Kluyveromyces lactis: one gene and its partner. The protein of the gene in region 2 interacts with the protein of the main gene of each other region in a pairwise test. Links are inferred from orthologs where the notes say so. Each region holds a gene or a part of one and is shown on either strand. Other genes may lie near its edges.

Region 1 (9,268 bases), about 810 kb from region 2:
TGGTTTTATGTCAGAAGTGGTAGATTGCACAGAGCCTCCGACAGCCTGGATAACACGGTTCATATCTTCAGTTGCGACTCTACCGGCACAGAAGATGTTCCTATCAGCAAAATATTGAGTGGCCAAGTCACCAATTGGTAATTTAGATAAAATGATGTTGGCACCTGTGTCTTCAATTTGTTGTAACTTATCCAAAATGATTTGCCATTCAGCATCAACGATAGCTTGGTAATCTTCGACATGTTCAACTCTCACTTCTGCATTATCTTTTTCTGCCTTTAGTTCTAATTCAACGTTTAGAGAAAGGATCTTAGGATTCTTGAAAGTCTTTGGTTGTTGTTCGAACCCAGCGTACGAGAAAGTCTTTTGGAAGGCGACACCGTCAACGAATAAAGAATCTTCCATAGCCCCACCAGAAATCTTTTTGATACCAATCAATTTATCATCAAGATCTTCTTGATCTAATGTTAACACTGCATCCACACACATCTTCACAAAGAAATCAGCGTTATTATTGATTAACTTAGAGGACATCGCGGTTCTAGCACAACGTTCTAGCAAATCTCTTGAATTGTTTTCATTGGAAATATCAACCGCAATTTCATTGATTTTAGCTACAGCCAGTTCTACTGCCTTTCTGTAACCCTTCATGATAATATGAGAAGAGATTCCTTCTTCTAAGAAAGGCTTTGCTTCCTTCATCAATTCACCAGCTAAAATGGTCACACTTGTGGTACCATCACCAACTTCAGCATCCTGAGCTCTGGAAATGTCAACTAGTGTCTTCGCTGCTGGATGAACAACGTCTAATAATTTAAGAATTGTAGCACCATCGTTGGAGATAGTCGTCTTACCGTTAGATGTCACAATCAATATATCAGAACCTAACGGACCCAAAGTTGGTTTCAACGTATCTTGAATTGCCAAACAGGCATTGATGTTAGAGATGATTTGGCCTCTACCCTGGGAGGAATCGGTTCCCTCCTTAAGGACAACAATAGTAGGTGTTTGATTGCCAAAGTTCATTCTCAATAGCTCCTTGGTTGCTGGTGCAATAGCTCTGTTTTGCCACCCGATGAACGAATATCGTAACAATTTCTCGCTGTGTTTGATTTAAAAACAGAGTAGTAATTAATTTTTTATTAAATTCGATTTCGTTGAAATTTCATATAAAAGTAACAGGCAACAGTAATATTGGAAAACAAACGAAACAAAAAGAGGGCCAAACTAGAGTGCGTCTTAGTAATTGGTGACAACCAGGTCCACTTTATATAGAAACAACAGAGAGTAAGACGGTCTCTACAGAAGATAATATTTGAGTTGCACCGGTATATTTAGTGACGGCGGCGGTTAACGCTTTTTTTTCCTCTCTGAAACGTCGTTGAACGCTGAAACATGCGCGTAGCAACTTCGAGATGCTGTTTTGCATGAACATGGACGTCTTTAACATCTTGAATAATTTGTATACCGTTGTAAAGCCATATATTGCAAGTGATTATTCTAATATAATCTCTTTATGAGACGGTATCTACATTATAGTGTGGACATTCTCAACTAATAATCACGAAATTGGTTGTGTGGCCGAGCGGTCTAAGGCGCCTGATTCAAGATACCTATCTTAACCAACCTTACAGTTGGGAACACTCAGGTATCGTAAGATGCAAGAGTTCGAATCTCTTCGCAACCATTTCTTTTTTGTTAAATCTTAGATTTTTTTGGCTTGGAAGCATGTCTTGTTAGTGGCTTGTAGCTAGAAACATTCTACTGCACGCGAAAATAACTAGCAAGGTATTATGAGGATGGTCTTTTTATACTAGTGAGTTATATACAAGTGATCACCTACATTGTATGCTAATTATTTTTCTATTTAATTTATGGGGAATAGTGAAGAATATTTATTATTTTTGAAGTAATGTGCCAGATGACGGCAAATGTCATAACTCTCATTTCAGCTGAAACAATTTTGTAGGTCTAAATTGCCCAGGTGTTGATGTCACCATTCGAGCGCCCTTCTACCAAATATCCGTGTTTGTATCTAACAAAATCCACGTTACCTTGTTCAGGATCATCTTCGCCGCAGAACCAGTGGTTACCGTCTTTCCTGTTGTAAATTTTCACAGTAGGCTCATTGTTTGAAATTACAATCTTATCCAGATCGAAATGTAGAGAAGTGATCGGTTGCTCATATGCAAATACGTCAGAAAGTATACCAGTTCTTAAGTCCCATATTCTTATACTTCTGTCCATTGCACCTGTAACTAGATTGACCGAGTCGAACTGAAGGGAGGTGATGGCGTCAGTATGACCTTCTAACATACGTACTACTTTCCCGGATCTTAAATCCCAAAGCCTTACGATACCATCTTTAGTACCTGTCGCCAAGGCAGCATCGAAGCATTGTAAAGCTCCAATAGCCGGCGGTTCCTTGGTTAGAAGTACACTATTACGAAGAGGGATGTTTCTTTGAGACCGCATAGGGCCAGTTGCGAAAGATATATCTATGGTTTGGGTGCACTTACCACTATTCAGATCCCATTGACGTACTGTCCTATCCTGAGAACCAGAAACCAAATTGTCACCGTCAAAACTTATTGCGGTGATTTCATCAACATGAGAATCAAAGGTATATAAACATGCATCATTATCTTCAGATGAATTTGACGCTTCATCAGCCATGGCCTTATCGATATCCCACAATTTCAGAACTGCGTCCCGACCACCAGTAATCAGGGTGCTATATTGATCAATTTGCATGCAACTGATAGATGCTAAGTGTCCATGCAATGTAGCAATTTGTTTTTTTTTACTTAAATCCCATACTTTTACCGAGTGATCTAGACTGCCAGCAGAGCACATAGTACCAAATGGCATATCAAAATCTAGGCAAGTGATATCTTCATCATGGGCCTTAGGAAGGCTTGTAATCTTAGATCCGGAATCATAGAACTGTTGTAAAGTTGGATAAGTTTTACGGCGGCGATTACGGTGAGAAACACCAACATCTTTAATTTTTTTGGAAGTACTATGTTTCTTCCTTTCGGAAATATCCGATTTCTTCTCGTGGTCTTGTAGCTGCTGATAGATGGATTTGGAAAGCAATGGAGAGTGCTCTTCTTCTTTGTTTTCTAAAGGAGTGGTAGCCGCAGTTTCATATGTTTCGTTAGTTTCTCCAGTTTTAGGCGAAAGTTCAGATAATCCATTTATATTTTCTTCATCCTCCGATGAGTATTCTTTATCCATGTTGTACTCTATAATCATATCGATTCTATCCTTAACGTTGTTCAAATGCTTCTCCAAAAACAATTCATGCTGCTCAATTTTAGCCACTCGCTTGAATACTAGTTCACGCATCATTTTTAACTTTTCCAGCTTGATATCTAGCTCTCTTATTTCGCTAGCTGCTAGATTTTTCTGGATTTCAAGTAAATCCAGGTTATCGGTGATTGACCTCGAGGCATCCTTCAAGAAGGATGCGGAGTAAGAATGCAGAAGTTTATCAGCTTTTAAATGGTCTGGCAAACTAAACTCTTCCTCTTGTTCTTCTTCTTCAGCGTAAACTGGGATGGACTCAGAGTCTGTTAAGGGTTTCATATCGCTATTCATTATAAGTTTTTGCTGTAGTTCTATCGTTTCATTAATAACAGGTAAAGATGCTTCAAATCCTTGAAATAACGTCGGTTCTTGCTTTTTTGACTTTGCAGATCTTTTCTCGCCATTTTCTGTTATCATGTTCTTGTTCTGAGGTATAGTGTCTCGTGGGGCGTCTTCAAGTAGATCATCACTCAAGTAACTTAAAACTTTGAATGTTGTTTTTGGATCACTATAAGAGTTTTTAAAGAACTCTTTGCTATTGGAATATATATCTTGGAAACCTGTATTCTTGCCTTTAGATAATTTCACGTCGTGGCGTACTTTAACTAGTGATGATCCCCCACCTGCATTAGTAATTGTCTCATGAAGCAATTTCTTATATGGACTACTGTATGAAAGAATTGTGTCTTCCATCGGCTGCGACGAGAATAGAACAGACGCCGTGGTAGACAGTGCCTTTCCCAGATTGGCAAACTGGTCTCCCGTATTAGAACTCATAGTTCTGGCACCACTAACACTCTTATCGAGGCTTTTGCTCGCAACATATGTTTCTTTAAGATTTGAAGTTGTAATAGGAACTAACAACTCTTTGTTTCCATGTATCTACTTTTTTGTACTCTGAAATTAGAACTTTCATTGCAGCAATAAAATCATATGAAAGAACGAAAACCGTATTCTCTGTAGAAGAGCAAGATGCCGTAGAAATGGAACTACGATATATTTCGTTATCATAAAATTAGAACCTTAATAATACAAAAATGATATATACTGAACTGAAACTTACATGAATATTTCCATTCCAGTGCGAGATTAATTCCCGAAGTGTGAAATATATCTTTCCACTTCATTTCGGCAAGCATATCGGTTTTTCTTGGATATAACTTATTAATGTATCAAATGGATTTTTAGTACCGCTGCTAGATTTCACTTATTTCTCCCTTCCAAAAGGTCCAACTGTTTCTCGAGCTTCTGTATTTCTTTCTCCTCTTTATCGATGAGAGATGATATTGACGTTTTTTCCGGTAACGCTTCGTGTTGGAAGTCTAACTCCTGGATCTCTACTTTCTTCTGAAGTTCATTAATATCAGCTTGTAATCCATTGTATATTTGCATTAGTTTTTCAAATTTCTCCTTGTATTCAGTGAGAGGCCATTGATCTATAATTTCCCGGAACACAGATAATATAATCGAGATTGGGAAATCTTCTACGAAAAGAGTTTTCCTTCTTGATACATCCTCGCCAGTTATCACACTTCCATTCCGCAATGCATGAAGAAATTGCTTGATTTGTTCGTCCTTGCTGAATTTTTTCAATAGCACGTCGTAGATTCCCAGCTCATCGCTGTTACTTCCTTCGAAGATAAAATCTCTTGCAGGTTTCTGTTTCTTTCGGATGACATGATCGTTTTGACTGAGATAAAACCCCTTCGGTATGTAGGTAATAGGTCTTGGATCTGGTAAACATAGTGCTCTGTTCCGTTTCAAAGTTGCTTCCCTCTCCAAGAGATGATCGTATATCCCTACTTTCCCATCCTTACGCTTCATATTTCCATCGTTATCTGTACTGTATAATGACATTTCTTCAATTGAATCGCCATCTCTTATAAGCTTTACTATAAGATCTGAGTACACTTTGCTGTTGCCTGGTACAATCGCATTTCTAAAGATGCCTGGCGGTTTGAAATATAAGGTCGATATTGACTCCGCGGATTTTGATATCTGATCCAGGCAGTAATCTAATGATCCAGACATCCTTTGATGTTGTTAAAAAACACTACACGTACAGATTAGGCACCACCCTCTTTCAGGAAACTGCTATGGAATACAATATTTCATCCAATACTATGTAATTTCTTGAAATACTCCAAATGATTCATTTATCTTTTAACTCGATTATGTTTACATTTTAGTTTTTTTGTTTTCGGTGTTTACGAAATCTTTACGTGAAAAGAGTTGGCATTATGTTAATGGAAAAGGTTGACAGAAGACTTTTAAGGCTCATGCGGCCTTTACATCGGGGTAAGCTAAGCGAGAACTATTGCTTACTTTATTCTATATATGATGATAAATAAACAAGAAAATCAGAATTGGCTATTATTATTCTCTCCATGCGATATAAACCTCATCGGTTCTAAACTTCTGCGTGACAATGGTTTCAGAAAGATCCTTAACAAAGTGGCCTGTTCTGTACTCTAATAGGCCTGCCTGGGCAATCATCACACCATTATCAATACAGAATCTGTCATCAGTTGCGTGTACTTGTCCATTGGACCTGTCTTTACACATTTGGGCCATCATCTCTTGAAGCCTAACGTTGCATCCAACACCACCCACTATTAGCACTTGGTTTGAGTTTACATGGGCCATTGCACGTTCGGTAATCTCCACAAGCATGGCAAATAAATTTTCCTGTAAAGAGTAACATAGGTCTTCTACAGTCACAAGCTGTTCTCCTGTTCTTGAATCAAATAATAATTTATTCTTCAAGTTCTTTTTGAATAGGTCTTTCGCTAAAGTGTCAATATATTGCAAAATACCACTCATTGACAGATCCATTCCCTTAACAGTGTATGGTAATACCACTAATTTTTCTTTATTCTTACACTGTTTAGCCAGTTGTTCAATGTTGTAACCAGGCGATGGTGCATTCGGTATCTTCAAAGTTCTTGCAAATCTGTCTAAACAATTCCCAATGGCGATGTCCAACGTTTCACCAAAGATTCGATATCTTTTCTCGGAGTAAGCAATAACTTGAGTGTTACCTCCACTAACATAGAGCACGACAGGATTTTTAGCTCCTGTGATCTCTCTCCCCATCTCGATATGCCCCACACAGTGGTTAACCCCAACTAATGGTATGTCCCACATCAATGACAAAGTCCTTGCAGCTATAACCACACAATGCAAAGGAGCACCCATTCCAGGTCCTCTAGTGAAACATATCACATCGATCTTTGTGGGATCATCGATCTTGGCCTCCGTTAATGCCTTTCTAATGATTCGTACCACCCAATTCCTATGATGTCTTGCAGTATCTCTTGGTAAAAACCCTTCTCCTGGCGGTGTCACATATGTATCTCTAATATTAGCCAATATTTCAACATCACACTCATACGAAAGGTCACTATCTTCATGTTTTTCTAGCACTGGGTGCTTGATAATACCAACGCCTAACTTGTTGGCAGATCCTTCAAGACCAATTGCCAAATAATAGTTCCTTTTACCTCTTGGTGGAATGCCGTTTAAATTCACCATCTCTTACTGAAAAAAGAATTTTTGACGATAATAGGTATACCTTCAATGAATATCGCACGAACACACGTTGAACTGGTGAGACACACTATATATTCAGGGAGTTGTATTACAGATCAAGATAGTCAACTCATCTCAGTTCAACTTTTCGGTTTTCTCAGATTCCAATTTTTCAAAAAATCATATACACCAATTTTGTGAGTAAAAGATAGCATAGTAAGAGGAGCAACAACAGAAAAAGTGTATCAAACTGCAAGACATAGTCATAGCTGGTCAATCACTCGTTGAGGGGAAAAGATTGTGTACAGAACGTATTTTCAGATTCGATATGAAAAAAGATCTCCGCGACGGGGAATTGAACCCCGATCTCGCACGCGACAAGCGCGAATTCTAACCATTAAACTATCGCGGATTTTGAAATAAAGCACTCACGGTGGGGGTCGAACCCACAATCTTCTGATTAGAAGTCAGACGCGTTGCCATTACGCCACGCGAGCTATTTAATTCGTTGAGTTGCTTGAATTCCCTTTAATTTATGTACGGAAGCCGAAACCACGTGCTAACAATGTGCATCTTTGGATAATTTATTAATGGATTTCACCCTTTGAATCAACGCAAAAATACCTTTTATTAATTGCAACCAGCGGAAATCTTTTTACTACGACAGTGAAACTCCCTGAGCTAATTTTATCTCATTAGCCTCTTTATATTTATCATTAACAACAGAATGTTATAAATACTTCTTCAATATATGAATTAATTGCCATTGGGCAATTAATTGGGGGATAGTATAAACTTTCAGCAATGTTTGATAAAAGACCTTCTAAAATACGTACACCACTGTGAGGTATGAAGCCTCAATCTAGAGGAAGGAGCTGAACATGCAAATCAGTTAGCAACTGAGGTCTTCAAGACTTCATTCGCCGATCACATGACATTCACAGACTCTGTGGACACCTAGAAAAGTTTTCTGCCAAAATTGCGAGGGCGTGTGGTCTAGTGGTATGATTCTCGCTTTGGGTTAGTAGCCTAGCGAAGCTTCGATAAACGAAGTTTAACTACTGCAAAGCATGCGAGAGGCCCTGGGTTCAATTCCCAGCTCGCCCCAGATTTTTTTTAATTTCTGATCTTTTCTACCACTGATTGCAACCCAGTGGAAAGTGTCAAATGAGAATATTTTCGTTCACAAAAGCACGTGATCAGCTCTGTGGCTTCTTGTATATATTAAGCTCTTATTAATAACTGTAACTTTCAACAGTAGAGCAATGAATTTATTCTTATTACAACCTTATCATCTGTTTTATCTTCACTGAAGTGTTTCTTACATTATTTTACACTGGATGACATCGGCATCCGAGTCACTGAATTATCGAATCTCTCTGAATCCGAAACTGAAGTTGTGAGGAAATAGAGTTGATAATGTCATCGGCAATACTATTCGCTTCAAAAAAGTCGTTTCCTGCAGCTCACAATGCTGTGCGAACTAATTGGACCAGATATTCCTCAGCATTGAACACGTCTACAAATCCTGCGATGCAGTTTCCATGCCTAGATAAACTCGAAAAGAAAACTGCAAAGCTTAGAGGAGATGACTCAGATCCTAACACACCAAGCTCCAAGATGTCATGCTCTATGGAAGAGGATGCCACATCCGCATCTTCAAAGAATGACCCAGTTTACGGGAAAGTGAGATCAGGATTTCAGCTTTTCAAATCTAAACAACCTATATTTCTAGACTACGGTGGAGTGCTACCGAATTTTGAGTTGGCATATGAGACCTGGGGCACTTTAAATGAAGATAAATCTAATGCTATTTTAATACATACAGGACTTAGTGCATCGTCACATGCACATTCCTCATCGTCGAACGAAAAACCTGGCTGGTGGGAAGACTTCATAGGGCCTGGAAATTCAATCCTAGACACTGATAAGTGGTTCATTATCTGTACAAATGTATTAGGAGGGTGCTACGGATCTACAGGCCCTTCGTCTCTAGATCCTGGAGACGGGAAACCGTATGCAACGAGGTTCCCAATGCTCTCAATTCAGGATATGATCAGAGCTCAGAAGAGGTTAATTGACTGCTTCGGAATTACCAAATTGAAAGCATCAGTTGGAAGTTCCATGGGGGGAATGCAATCTTTGGCTTATGGTCAACTATTTCCAGATTCAGTGGAAAAAATTGTTTCTGTCTCAGCATGCGCGAGGTCTCATCCATCATCTATAGCAATGAGACATGCACAGAGACAGGTACTAATGGCAGATCCCAATTGGAAAAGAGGATTTTATTATCCAAGTGAAGAGCATCCGGATAGAATACCTCCTCATGTCGGCATGAAATTAGCAAGAGAAATAGCAACTGTCACTTATAGATCAGGCCCAGAATGGGAATCAAGGTTCGGAACAGAAAGATTAGATGATGACA
Region 2 (12,305 bases):
TGCCTCTTTAATGTAAACGTATCTTTAAAGTAAATGTGCGCTTCTTCTTTTTTTTCTATATTTGATGTTTTTAATTTCATCTTCAAAGGTCTAAAAATGAAAGCCAAAGGATCAACTTTAGTCTGTAAATAAAAAGCCACGCGTTGTTTTGCAGGAATGCACCGCTGCGACACTGGGTTATGTTACGCGGTATGAACTAATTCTTTTGAAGCATTTCAATTGATTGTATTCTGAATACGTACCCTATCCCTTCTATCTTTGTGTTTTTTAATGAACGGTACGGAAGGTAGCGATACGGTGGGGTCTTCTACGGATGCATTGATTTCACCAGACTATTTACACTCCACCGGGTCATTGGTGCATAAGGACTTCAATGAACTCTTAAGGAAACAGGATCTCACGGGAAATCTTGTTGAAGTGCCGCGAGAGCATCAAGCTAAGGGAAACACTCCAGAAGAGTTACTTAACGGAATATTTGAAATAGCAGCGGATGATATGGAAAACGCGAATGTCCAGGATAATTACTCTGCAGAAAACTATAATAGTATATCAGAGAATTTCGATGAGTTACACGCCAATATATATGGTGGCAATATACACATTCCTATTCTCCAGCGACTATATAACATGATCCAAGTGTTCCTTCTGCGACATGGTTTGACTCTGGATTTTTTGACTATTTTCCAACGTTATGTGAATCTACTAGGTGAATCCAACGTTGATGTACTACAGGACAAGTATCTTTTAAATTTACAAAATGAATTAAGCAAAGGGTATGATTTTTCCACCATTTTACAAGACATCATCACAGCATTTCTTCTGAAGCCGGAGAACGTCATCATGAAATTGGCGTACTTTCAATTCAAGACGGAAAGACTGTTACTGAAGAAAGTGTTTTCAAGCTGGCAATTGAAATGCTCTTTGAACTACAACCTTTCAGAGCTTGAAGAGATATGGAATAAGTGCGTAAAGAAAAAATTCTTTCAACGATGGGTCCAAACATCTGATATCAAATGCCGGGAATGGGTAAAAAACGGAGACGAAGTATACAACCAGAGACTCAAGACAGGTTTTTTTGATGCATGGCTTGATAGGATCCATCAAATAGATACAAAATCGCAGATTGCTGATAACTTTTTCTTGGATAATACCTTTGCAAACATAAAAGCGAAACACGAGAGGTTAACGCAATGCTTCAACAGAACGAAAAATGTCAATCAAAAGCATCTCCTTCAGAAATCGTTCAAGTTGTGGAAGCTAAAAATGTGTGAAGGTCATTATAATCCAACGACAATGAAACGATACTTACTTTGCAAAGGCTTCACAGAATGGAAAAAGAAGTATGCACATGAAATATACCTAAGAGAACTCGCGACTTTCTCAGAACGAAACTTTCATCTAAGTCCGTTTTTGAATAAATGGATCTCGCAATATCAAAAGAAAGAGGCATACGAGCTGAAACTCATAGAAAAAAGTAATATATTCATCAAACGAAGGTTTTTTGAAATGATTTTACTAGCAGATAAATTGGTTAATGTCGAGTCGAAGGTACAAGAGTGCAACACTGAATCTCTGCAACGATATGTTTTATATGTATGGCAAAAACGCTTCGAAGAAAGAACTAATAGTCATGATTACGTCGTTCAACAGAACACAAAGATTGTGCGCTTTTACTTTTCTCAATGGAAACTAAAATCGGAAAGTTACGCAACAGCGAATTCTCATTACACCTCACTTTTGAAGAAAAAATTCATCCATTCCATCACATTGAAATGCAGAGCAGCCCAATTCAACTCTTCAATAAAAGAAGCCAAATACTCGAAAGCTTTGAAACTTTGGCGTAAGAAATTTGAGCTGAACGCCCTTGCTCAGGAATTTGATTCTTTAATCCTTAAGAGATATTACAATGTTGTTAAAAATAAACAGCATTCTCTGAAAGATCTTGGGAATCTTTCAGCTCGATGTTATGATAATGATATCAGTAAGAGGCATTTTATGGTTTGGATTAATCGTTATAAACTATTGCTTTCATCACAAAGGAAAGCAGAAGTTTTCATGAAGCTGCGCTTTATTACCATTATCAAGCGTTCAATTAACGATACTCGTATGAAAACTCGTTTGTCGATTGAACTCTCTAAAGGTAACAGTAAAATGCTCGTTGAAAATTTGTGGAAAGTTTGGAAGACCCGGCTGGAATCTAAAAGGCTACTTAATCTTGAAATGTTGCTGGACAAGTTTGAAGATAGAAGATCTTTACAATTTAACCAAAAATTCCTTTCAGCATGGATGAAACGCTCTCGCTTCTACACAGTTGAATGTGCATCTATCGCAGAACAGAGCTCCGATATGAGTTCTCTGAAGAATACTATGCTCCAATGGACAACGAAATATTCCAACATAAAATTAATGCATACAGAGGCTGCCGAAATTCATGACAGCATATCTGTTTCCAATGCTTTTGATTCTATTCTTAGAAAGCTTGAGGCACTTCAAATTCAGGACTCTAGGTTGTCCATGTATGTCGAAGAAAAGCAGGTTAAGTTGTTACTGAAATGGACCAACAAGTGGAGCGTTAAGGTGTTAAAACTTAAGCGTAATGAAGAATCAGTTGCCATGTTTAGAGTGAGATGGAACAGAGCTAACCTTCGAGCTATTATGAGTTTATGGAAGGAGAAAGCGTTTTCAATCGTAAATTATTCGTCTGGTAACGAACTAGCTAGCTATTCTCCCCAAAATGATGAGTTGACATTTCAAACTCCCATGAAATCACCTAATAATGCTGCGGTAACGATACCTGGCTCCACAAGAGTTAAAAGAAATAAAATGGATAGAATAAGGAATAGGTTTAGTAGGGCCCGGGGAGCAATACCAAGCCCAATCAAGACAACAAATGTGCTGGATAGCACTGTAAAGGCGAGATTAAGTGATCAGCGAAACACAGCTGCAAAGGACACTACAGGCGCACAGGCTACATATCTATTGAGTGTGAATAAAAGGTTAGCGGGAAAAACAAGAAACATCAGCTTCAACAAAATTCCAGAAACAAGCCTTTTCGGATTTCCATCGCCTCAGCCATTTGAAGGACCAGATCCAGATAAATTAAAAGTTGATCTCGACTTCTTGGAAGGCGATTCTCTGCCCGAACGTGACGATTCTCCAACTAGAAGAAGATCCAGACCGATTCAATGAGTCTAGTCTGATCCACACTTGCGTCCCATCGTAAGGTTCTACTTGCATCAAAGCCGGTTATGTAGCTAAGTACATTCTCAGTTTGTATTTGTATTATTATCATTATTCTGTTACCCGGCTATGTTGATAATGCCAAAATATTAAGGAATAACTGAATCTTTTGGCGGGTGGCAAACCTTTGACAGAAAGATACAACATTGAAGGAATGCAACCGCCTAAAAGACGATATTCACAGGATTGAGTATCATCAGTGAGCAACTGTATCAAATCATTCCCAAATATAATCGAAAATGGATGGAATTCAAGTTGATATGAACCGCTTGAAAAAGGGCGAAGTGAGTCTAGGTACTTCAATGTATGTATCAATAAGGGAACGTTAAGATTCCTCTTTCCCACAATCGAATCAATCGGTTTTAATGATATCAGTGAATACTAACTAAACTTAATTAATGTTAACAGTATGGCCGTGACTTTCAAAGATGGTGTGATCTTAGGGGCAGATTCCAGAACAACTACTGGTGCGTATATTGCCAACCGTGTCACAGATAAACTAACAAAGGTTCATGATAAAATCTGGTGTTGTAGGTCAGGTTCAGCAGCAGACACTCAGGCTGTTGCCGATATTGTACAGTACCATCTAGAATTGTACACCTCACAATATGGAGAACCTACAACCAAGGTTGCTGCATCGATCTTCAAGACATTATGTTACGAGAACAAGGATCATCTCACAGCAGGTATTATAGTGGCGGGCTACGATGAAAAAAACAAAGGAGAGGTGTATAGTATACCTCTTGGTGGTTCTGTGCACAAGCAGTCGTACTCAATTGCTGGTTCTGGTTCTGCTTTCATATATGGTTACTGTGACAAGAACTATAAGGAAGATATGACTAAAGAAGAAACAATCGAATTTGTAAAACATTCTCTATCACAAGCCATCAAATGGGATGGTTCATCTGGTGGTGTCATTAGAATGGTTGTCCTTACTGCTGAAGGTGTGGAACGTTTAATTGTGTATCCCGATGAGTATGAAAACCTGTAGATTAGACGATAAAGCGGTCTTAACCCGTCTTCTGTAAGCAAAAGTATATTAGTTTAAAGAATAAAATTGGTATATAAGAAGAATAAATCTGAGAAACCTCGGTTTCCTTATCATCAAGACCAATCTTAAGGGGCGTTCGGTCCTGAGAGGTATTCTGCCTTCGGCTTTCCATTATTGGTAAACTTTCTCAGTAGTTAAGATTATCAGAAAGGCATTATAAAAAAGTACAACGGATCATTAATACACTCTTAGCTATGCAAAAATATAGAAATGAACTTGAATTGTTAATTGATAGAAAAGCCCAGCAGATATTATGATATAGTAGTATGTCCTTAGAATGTTACATTAAAGATGCACTTCCGTTCGGTCATGAGTTCGAAATCATTAATCTCCAGTCAATTCCACGAGAAACCTCGCCAATAACTTTTCCAAAACGCGAAGCTGAAGACGTTAATGGAAAAACGGTGAAGACCATCAAGACACAACATTTCGTCGCATTATGCTTTGAAGAGAAGGTTGTTTTTGCTCTTGAAATTGTTGTTTATTTCAGTTTGAATTCTGCCAATAATGGTCCCGTAGAAAGGCTCTTGTTCGTCTCCAAAGCAGATACAAACGGATATTGCGATCTAAGACTTGACATTGGTCAGATAACTAAGTCAATAATTGCATATATTCTGGCAATTAGTCCAGGACATTATTTGCGGGCGGTAAAACCGCTGATAAGGAAAGCACTGAGCGGTGCAAAGATTATAAAGAGAAGTACATCAGTACAGAGAGCGTTAGAAATATTATCCAACAGACCGTTGGATTCGAAGGGGATAACTTCAAGGGTTAAAATCCCAGACCAAGATTTATACGTTTCATTCCCGGTTCCGACGGAAATTGTCACAAAGGTAAGTCTTTTTACCAGGGCAGAGCCGCAGTATTTGTTTTCAAACTCATCTAAAAACCCAAGGAAACACGTCCTAAGTGGTGACAAATTGCTCAAATGGTGGTTAAAGATTGTAGACCAAATAGTTGTCGAAGATTTCGATAATAAAACAAAGGCAACCTTACAAATACCGGGAGAAGAGAAAAGAGTAATTTCCAACTATTTGAGAAACACAGCATATCAAAATTGGACCGTAGGAGACATTTTCTCTGAAAGTCCGCAAGACATTGCATTATACAGGATACCATTATTCCCTGATGACCCCAAGGGCAGATTCCTTGACCATCTGATCAGTGATGGACGAATTTCTAAAGTCAATGTGTTAACATTCTGGACAGAATTGCAAGCAAGGCAAGAGTTCAGACTGGGATCAACTGTGTCTGTCATTGGAGTGTCAGGAAAATACATCGGCCGTTGCAATGAACCAGAACGGACTGATATAATTATACCAACCTCGAAGAAGAACTTTAAAAATCTGAAGAACTACATAACTGGAGAAGAATATGACACTGAAGAAGGTGCTGAAGAAGCATACATGAACATTCGAGATATTTTTGACATGCATTACTCCACGAAGATGATAAAAGTTATTGGAAACCACCACAAGATCGCTACTACAAAACGGCCTGAAATAAACACTATTAACGTAATAAACACTCTAAGTGTCCATAGGAAACCTAAATCGTAGTGTGACGGTGCTGATATATATATACTACATAATGGATTCAGGACAATTTGCGCGTACATCACAGCGGATCTCTATATTGGAAGTCAATTTTCAGCAGAAATCAAACAGAGAATAAAAATGTAACAAATTAAATCAAATAAAAATAAAAATAAAAATAAAAATAAAAATAAAAATAAATAAATAAATAATAAAAAATACCTATTGCATTGAGAATAATTATTTGAAATTTGATCCAATGAAATGGTTAAATATTGCGTTTGAGTGTATCTTTGATTGGTTAGATATTAGATGCGATCCTGTTAACCTTAAACTAGTCTATTAGAACGGTTAATTAGGTCGGAGTATAGTACACAAGTAACTCTGAAGATGTCAAGTCTAGAAGATTTGATTCCTACGGTGAATAAGCTACAGGATGTTATGTACGATGCAGGCATTGACAGTTTGGATCTACCGGTTTTAGCTGTTATTGGATCGCAATCTTCTGGTAAGTCTTCGATCTTGGAAACGTTGGTCGGGAGAGATTTCTTACCTCGTGGTACTGGTATTGTTACCAGACGTCCTCTAGTTCTTCAGTTGAATAATATTGATCCGAATTCTCCATTGGTTTATAATTATGACAATTCTTCATCTACGTCACTTGAACAGGTTAATGACGAGCCAGATGCCCGCACGGAGAAGGAAATGACCTTGGAAGATCATTTGAGAAAGAATTCAAACTATAAGCCTGAAATAAAGAATGAATGGGGTGAGTTTTTACATATTCCAGGTCGTAGATTCTACGACTTTTCTGAAATTAGAAGGGAAATTGAAAACGAAACTGCTAGGATTGCAGGGAAAGAGAAGGGAATAAGCAGAATTCCAATCAACTTGAAAATATATTCTCCGCATGTTTTGAACTTGACTTTAGTGGATCTACCAGGTATCACTAAGGTTCCGATTGGGGAACAGCCACCGGATATTGAAAGACAAATCGAGAATTTGATCTTGGAATATGTTGCCAAGCCAAACTGTATCATCTTGGCCATCTCCCCTGCTAATGTCGATCTCGTTAATTCAGAATCTTTGAAATTGGCCAGAGAGATAGATCCCCATGGGAAAAGAACTATTGGTGTTATTACTAAATTGGATCTTATGGACCAAGGCACTAATGCTTTGGATATTTTGTCAGGGAAGTTGTATCCTTTGAAGCTAGGATTTGTCGGTGTGGTGAACAGATCCCAGCAAGACATCCAACAAAACAAAAGTGTTGAAGAAGCTTTGAACTCAGAAGAACAATTCTTTGCAAAACATCCTGTTTACAGAACTATTTCAACTAGATGCGGAACCAGATACTTGGCTAAATTATTGAACCAAGTCTTGATGAATCACATTAGAGATAAATTGCCAGATATCAAAGCCAGATTAAATACCCTCATCGGACAAACCGAACAAGAATTGGCTACATATGGTGACGATAAAGTTATCACGAAAGAAAATAGAGCTGGCCTTGTTTTGCAATTGATGAATAAATTTGCTACTAAATTCATTTCTTCCATCGATGGTACTTCCTCGGAAATAAGCACTAAAGAACTTTGTGGTGGTGCCAGAATCTATTACATCTATAACACTCTATTCGGGAAATCTCTAAACTTCATCAACCCTACTTCTAACTTATCAATGACGGACATCAGAACAGCTATAAGAAACTCAACTGGGCCAAGACCTTCATTGTTTGTTCCAGAATTAGCATTCGATCTATTGGTTAAACCACAAATCAGATTACTTCTAGATCCATCTCAACGTTGCGTAGAATTGGTGTATGAAGAATTGATGAAGATATGTCACAACTGTGGCTCTCCTGAGCTAGCAAGATATCCAAAACTACAAAGTAAGCTAGTCGAGGTTGTCAGTGAACTGTTGAGGGAAAGATTGGGACCAACTCGTTCTTACGTCGAAAGTTTGATTGATATTCATAAAGCGTACATTAACACAAATCATCCAAATTTCCCAAGTGCTACAGAGGCCATGGCCGAGATTGTTGAAGCTAGAAAGAACAAAAAGCAAACGGAAAGACTTCAGAAACAGAGGGAATATGAGAAGCAGCTACTGTTAGAGCAACAACAAGCTGAACGTGAAATGAAGAAATCCGATTCAGTAGATGAGACAGAACAAGATTTGAAGCTTGATTCTGATTCCACAGCAACCAGCGAGCACGACTCTGAAGAAGAAAATGATATGAAGCAATCAAAGGATTCCTTCTTGAATTATTTCTTCGGCAAAGAACAAAAGAGTTCCAATACAAAGCTTTCTTCGAGAATTGATTATAACGGCTCTGATAATTCTTATGACATCGAAAATTTGCAAATTCAAGATTTTAAAGACAAGAGCGCAGATGCCCATACCAAATCTGAAGCTGCTACCGAATTTACCGAACGTGAAGAGTTGGAATGTGAATTAATTAGAAGATTGATCGTCTCATACTTTTCCATTGTTAGAGAGATGATCGAAGATCAGGTCCCAAAGGCTGTAATGTGCTTGCTAGTAAACTATTCAAAAGAATCTGTCCAAAATAGACTAGTCACAAAGCTTTACAAAGAGTCACTCTTCGATGAACTCTTGATGGAAGATCAGACTTTAGCACAGGACCGCGAAAAATGCGTCAACCTTTTGGAAACTTATCAAAAAGCATCAGGTATTATCGGAGACATTCTATAGTCCTAGATAGGATCCTAAGTTTTATTTTATTAAGTTCAAAATGTAAATAGAAATGAAGATAATATTTTGTATACAGAAAAAAAAAAACAGTATTGAATATGCAAAGCATTAACGTTTATCCGTGAAGCTAATTTACTGATGTTGGATTATCCAAATGGTCAGAATTTAACCTCAGATGTGGAAGGGATGCTCTTTCTATCATAGAAAACAATATGTACCTTATAAACGCCAGATTCATAGAAACGCCTTTATCAAAAACATCAATATAATCAAGCAGAAAAATATTATTAAATTTCCAAAATATTTCATTAATATTTTTATTTTCGGAACAATAAAACATCTTTAATATTTAAATTTTAGAGTAGTAATCAAAAATATTCTATTTTATAAATAACCTAGAGTTAACAAAAATTAATATATATAATTAAAATATGATAATTATAAAGTTATTTTAAAAATTAAATATAAAAATTATAAGTTTATAAAAATGTATTATTTATTGTCACGTGCATAATAAATAATAAGGCATAAAGTACACTTTATTGTTAGCTAAAGAACAATTCTAAAGCAGTAGAAAGGTACAAGAGGAACACATTGGATTGAGTACCTGACGACTACTAATATCTGTGACTTTGGTGTTGTTTAATTATTCCTTATCTGTTTCATTCACACTTTTATATTTTTTTTATTTTATAATTATTTTATTAAAATTATTCTTTATTTATTATTGATTTAGGACCATTTGTAGTATTATGTTCCATTAATTTGTCGTTCATGAGAAGTATTATCGACATATGTAGCTAGGTCAGTGCGAAAAACCCTAACTAACATAGAACTGGATATTCATGATCAACTAATTTCCGAATCATCTGCTAGCGTGAGGTTTTCTTCGATGTATCATTGAAAATGGTGCTACCTTGATCGGCATAGAAGTATAAGTTAAGTGATTGCGGACAGTAACTGTAAACTGTAAACTGTAAGAATGTTGCGAAGATATCAAGTAACGAACACATACTGAGAGTGTGCGAATGTGTTGGAGTGTAGCCGTAAACAGTTCCGCAACAACCATAAGCCAAAAATCCACCATGGAATGTCCCATTGGCAGCGTTGGTTTTTTTCCTAGGGCGTTGATACTTATCGAAAATTGACGGCTAGAAATGATAGAGCGTTAAAGGAATTCGTTATCGGATCTGTGGACTGTTTGATCTATGCTTTAGTGCAGTGTAATAACTTGCTTTGCCTTCAAGACATTTTACTCGTTATATGAATATTGCAGCGCACAAGAAATTTGTAATTCACTCACTACTAGAATGTGATCAACAGCAAATATTTCGTTAAACCTAGTATGGATTACAAGAGTCATGAATGCATCCTGCAGAATATTTTACTGGAGTTCTTTCCCCAAGGATAGTTGCTAACTCTATTTATTATTTTCAGAGAACATCGATGTGCACTGGAAAGGCTGAATCAGCATCCTAGTTTTAACATTTTCCCAAGTTGTCAAAACTAGTAGATGACCAAAATATCACTTTGTGAAAGGCCCATATCTTTGCATGCCCAAACCAATCATACAAATATTGAAAGCGTATATCGAGTTTTGGACGGTGTCCGATGCTTTATTATTCGTTTTTCCATGCGCAGAAAATACATTGATAGTGAATTTTATATGAAACGCTCTAAGCAGAATAAAGACATTAAGGACTTCCATAAACTCCTGCCAAATGTCTGTAGACTCCATTCTACTCAGAAGTCGTAGAAGAGCACAATAAAAAAAAGATTCCAGAGGATATGACAAAATAGAACATTTTAGTATCTGGAATAAAATTTAAACACTGAATGTCTTCATGTAGACACTAATATGCAGTGATGATACATTGTAGATTACTCTGGAGCTTGTCTACACTAATTTATTCGCATACATCTGCTCAGTACAAAAATGGGAGGACAACAGCACCGTCCAATTTCTTAGACTTTAATTACCAGTTGGTTATACGTGATGTAGTATTATAGTTAACTAATGGGGTTTATAAATCCTAAAAAGAGAATGTGATATATAAAAAAGAGATTAAGAGACGTTTGACAAGTAGAAATAGAGAGACATTACCAATTATCAATAAGATATATGGAAATGAAGCGACATTTTACTAGGGCAGGATTCAAACCAGTGAAGAACACAAAAAAAATAATTGGCACAGCTCTTGCGTACCGGTAAAACGCTACATTTTTTTGAAATAAAGACGCCGTTTCTTCTAGAAGTCTTCCCGGCTCTTTTTTCCACCTATTAACGCAGCATTGTTGTTGATGTCTGAGACATGTGTGCAGAAGTTCTAGCGTTGGCGTTCTCCTTCAAAGCAATCAATTGCTTGGATCTGAAACTTTCGTAGTGGATCAAAGCTGTAGTCTCAATCAAATCTTGCAAGTGTGTCCTGATCAAAAATTCTCTTAAATATACGAACTCACATTGGTTGATGTCTTCGACATTGATGGCACCCCAACGAGTTTTTCTTCCTCTTACTAGTTCACCGTTCACTGTAATCTCCTTTTCAGATCCTACAACGGCAAATGGAATAATAGATCTTATACTTTTATTCAGTTCCACTTCTTCATCGGTCAGATCGTCTAAATCATATGGATAGATTCTGAAATTGTACTTTTTAAATTCTTCTTGTAAGATGTTTCTGAAGTTAGCTCTCTCATTCAACGTCAAAGTATCAGCTTTAGCGATCACCGGGATAACATTAGCGATTTCTGTCAATCTCTTCAAAGCAGCAACGTCAAGTTCTGTTAGACCCTTACCGTTAGGTTGGATGAAATATAACACTGCATGTACTCGAGTGTCTACAATGTGTCTTTCACGTTGAGCAGTCAACTCTTTACGTAAATATTGAGAGTGTTGCTCCTTGATGTACTTGACAATAGGTTCCCAAACTTTGTCGTTATTTATCTGGTCACCAAAACCTGGAGTGTCAATCACGTTCACGTTCAAACGTACACGGTCTTCCAATAAAGAATGTGTTGAAACCTTGATCTCGGTGGTCTTACTAATTGGTTCCTGAGTGATGTCCTTACCAGTAGAAGAATCAACCAAGTGAGATGCAAACAAAGTGTTGATCAAAGTACTCTTACCCAGACCAGAATGTCCAACGACCATAACGTTGAATTGAAATCCTCTCTTCAACAAACGATGTTCAATCTGTGAAGTAATCGAATCAAACCCAACATAAGAAGATGGATTTACCAAAGCCAACCCATCAGAAGAAGAAGTCATACCAGCTGCAGCAGTACTAGATGCCATTGTTTTTGTTTATGCGTGTATTTTACCTTTAATAATTCCTTTCGCGTAGTAGAGATGTATATAAGTCAAATCCAAATGATCAAAGCTTTACGTGTTTTAGTGTTTGGAAGTTAAAATAATGAAAAACCTCTAAGTTATAAAAACAATTAACCGCAATAACAAAAATTCAAACAATGAGTAGCAATTAACCACAGAAACGTCAAAAAAAAGTAATCACAATCTTACTTATTCTAAAGAATACAAGATCTGATTCCTTACTTATATTTTGTTGACACACTTATTTCGTTTCGAGTTCCATTTTTAGTTTTTGTGATTTTTCGTCTTTTTCATCGAAATCGAAAAAGGGACACAGATCATCACCAAATCAGGGTAATGTTGAAAATTCTTTCTTATAATCCAATTCGTCAATACCAATTTGAATTGACGAAGTTCAAACAGAGTTAGACGAGCGACCTAGAGAAACTAG

What was found.
Region 1: the proteins of DNM1 (region 2) and KLLA0_F21406g interact in a two-hybrid assay, tested with the Saccharomyces cerevisiae proteins (9 studies listed by BioGRID). The link is inferred for Kluyveromyces lactis from reciprocal best matches to the Saccharomyces cerevisiae genes DNM1 and MDV1.

What each region holds. Positions count from the first base shown.
Region 1 is NC_006042.1:1,994,289-2,003,556, forward strand, and holds KLLA0_F21406g (WD repeat MDV1/CAF4 family protein), read right to left. Parts: upstream 4,090-9,268; coding exon 1,972-4,089; downstream 1-1,971. Other genes in the region: chaperonin-containing T-complex subunit CCT7, read right to left, coding at 1-1,026; SPC34 (Spc34p), read right to left, coding at 4,516-5,343; KAE1 (tRNA N6-adenosine threonylcarbamoyltransferase), read right to left, coding at 5,689-6,846; KLLA0_F21560g (homoserine O-acetyltransferase family protein), read left to right, coding at 8,263-9,268. UniProt on the Saccharomyces cerevisiae protein: Involved in mitochondrial fission. Has a partially redundant function to CAF4 in acting as an adapter protein, binding to FIS1 on the mitochondrial outer membrane and recruiting the dynamin-like GTPase DNM1 to form mitochondrial fission complexes.
Region 2 is NC_006042.1:1,183,765-1,196,069, reverse strand, and holds DNM1 (dynamin-related GTPase DNM1), read left to right. Parts: upstream 1-6,216; coding exon 6,217-8,544; downstream 8,545-12,305. Other genes in the region: SFI1 (Sfi1p), read left to right, coding at 271-3,189; PRE3 (proteasome core particle subunit beta 1), read left to right, coding at 3,480-3,544, 3,649-4,231; H3 histone acetyltransferase RTT109, read left to right, coding at 4,558-5,850; septin CDC10, read right to left, coding at 10,826-11,839. UniProt on the Saccharomyces cerevisiae protein: Microtubule-associated force-producing protein that participates mitochondrial fission. Fission of mitochondria occurs in many cell types and constitutes an important step in mitochondria morphology, which is balanced between fusion and fission.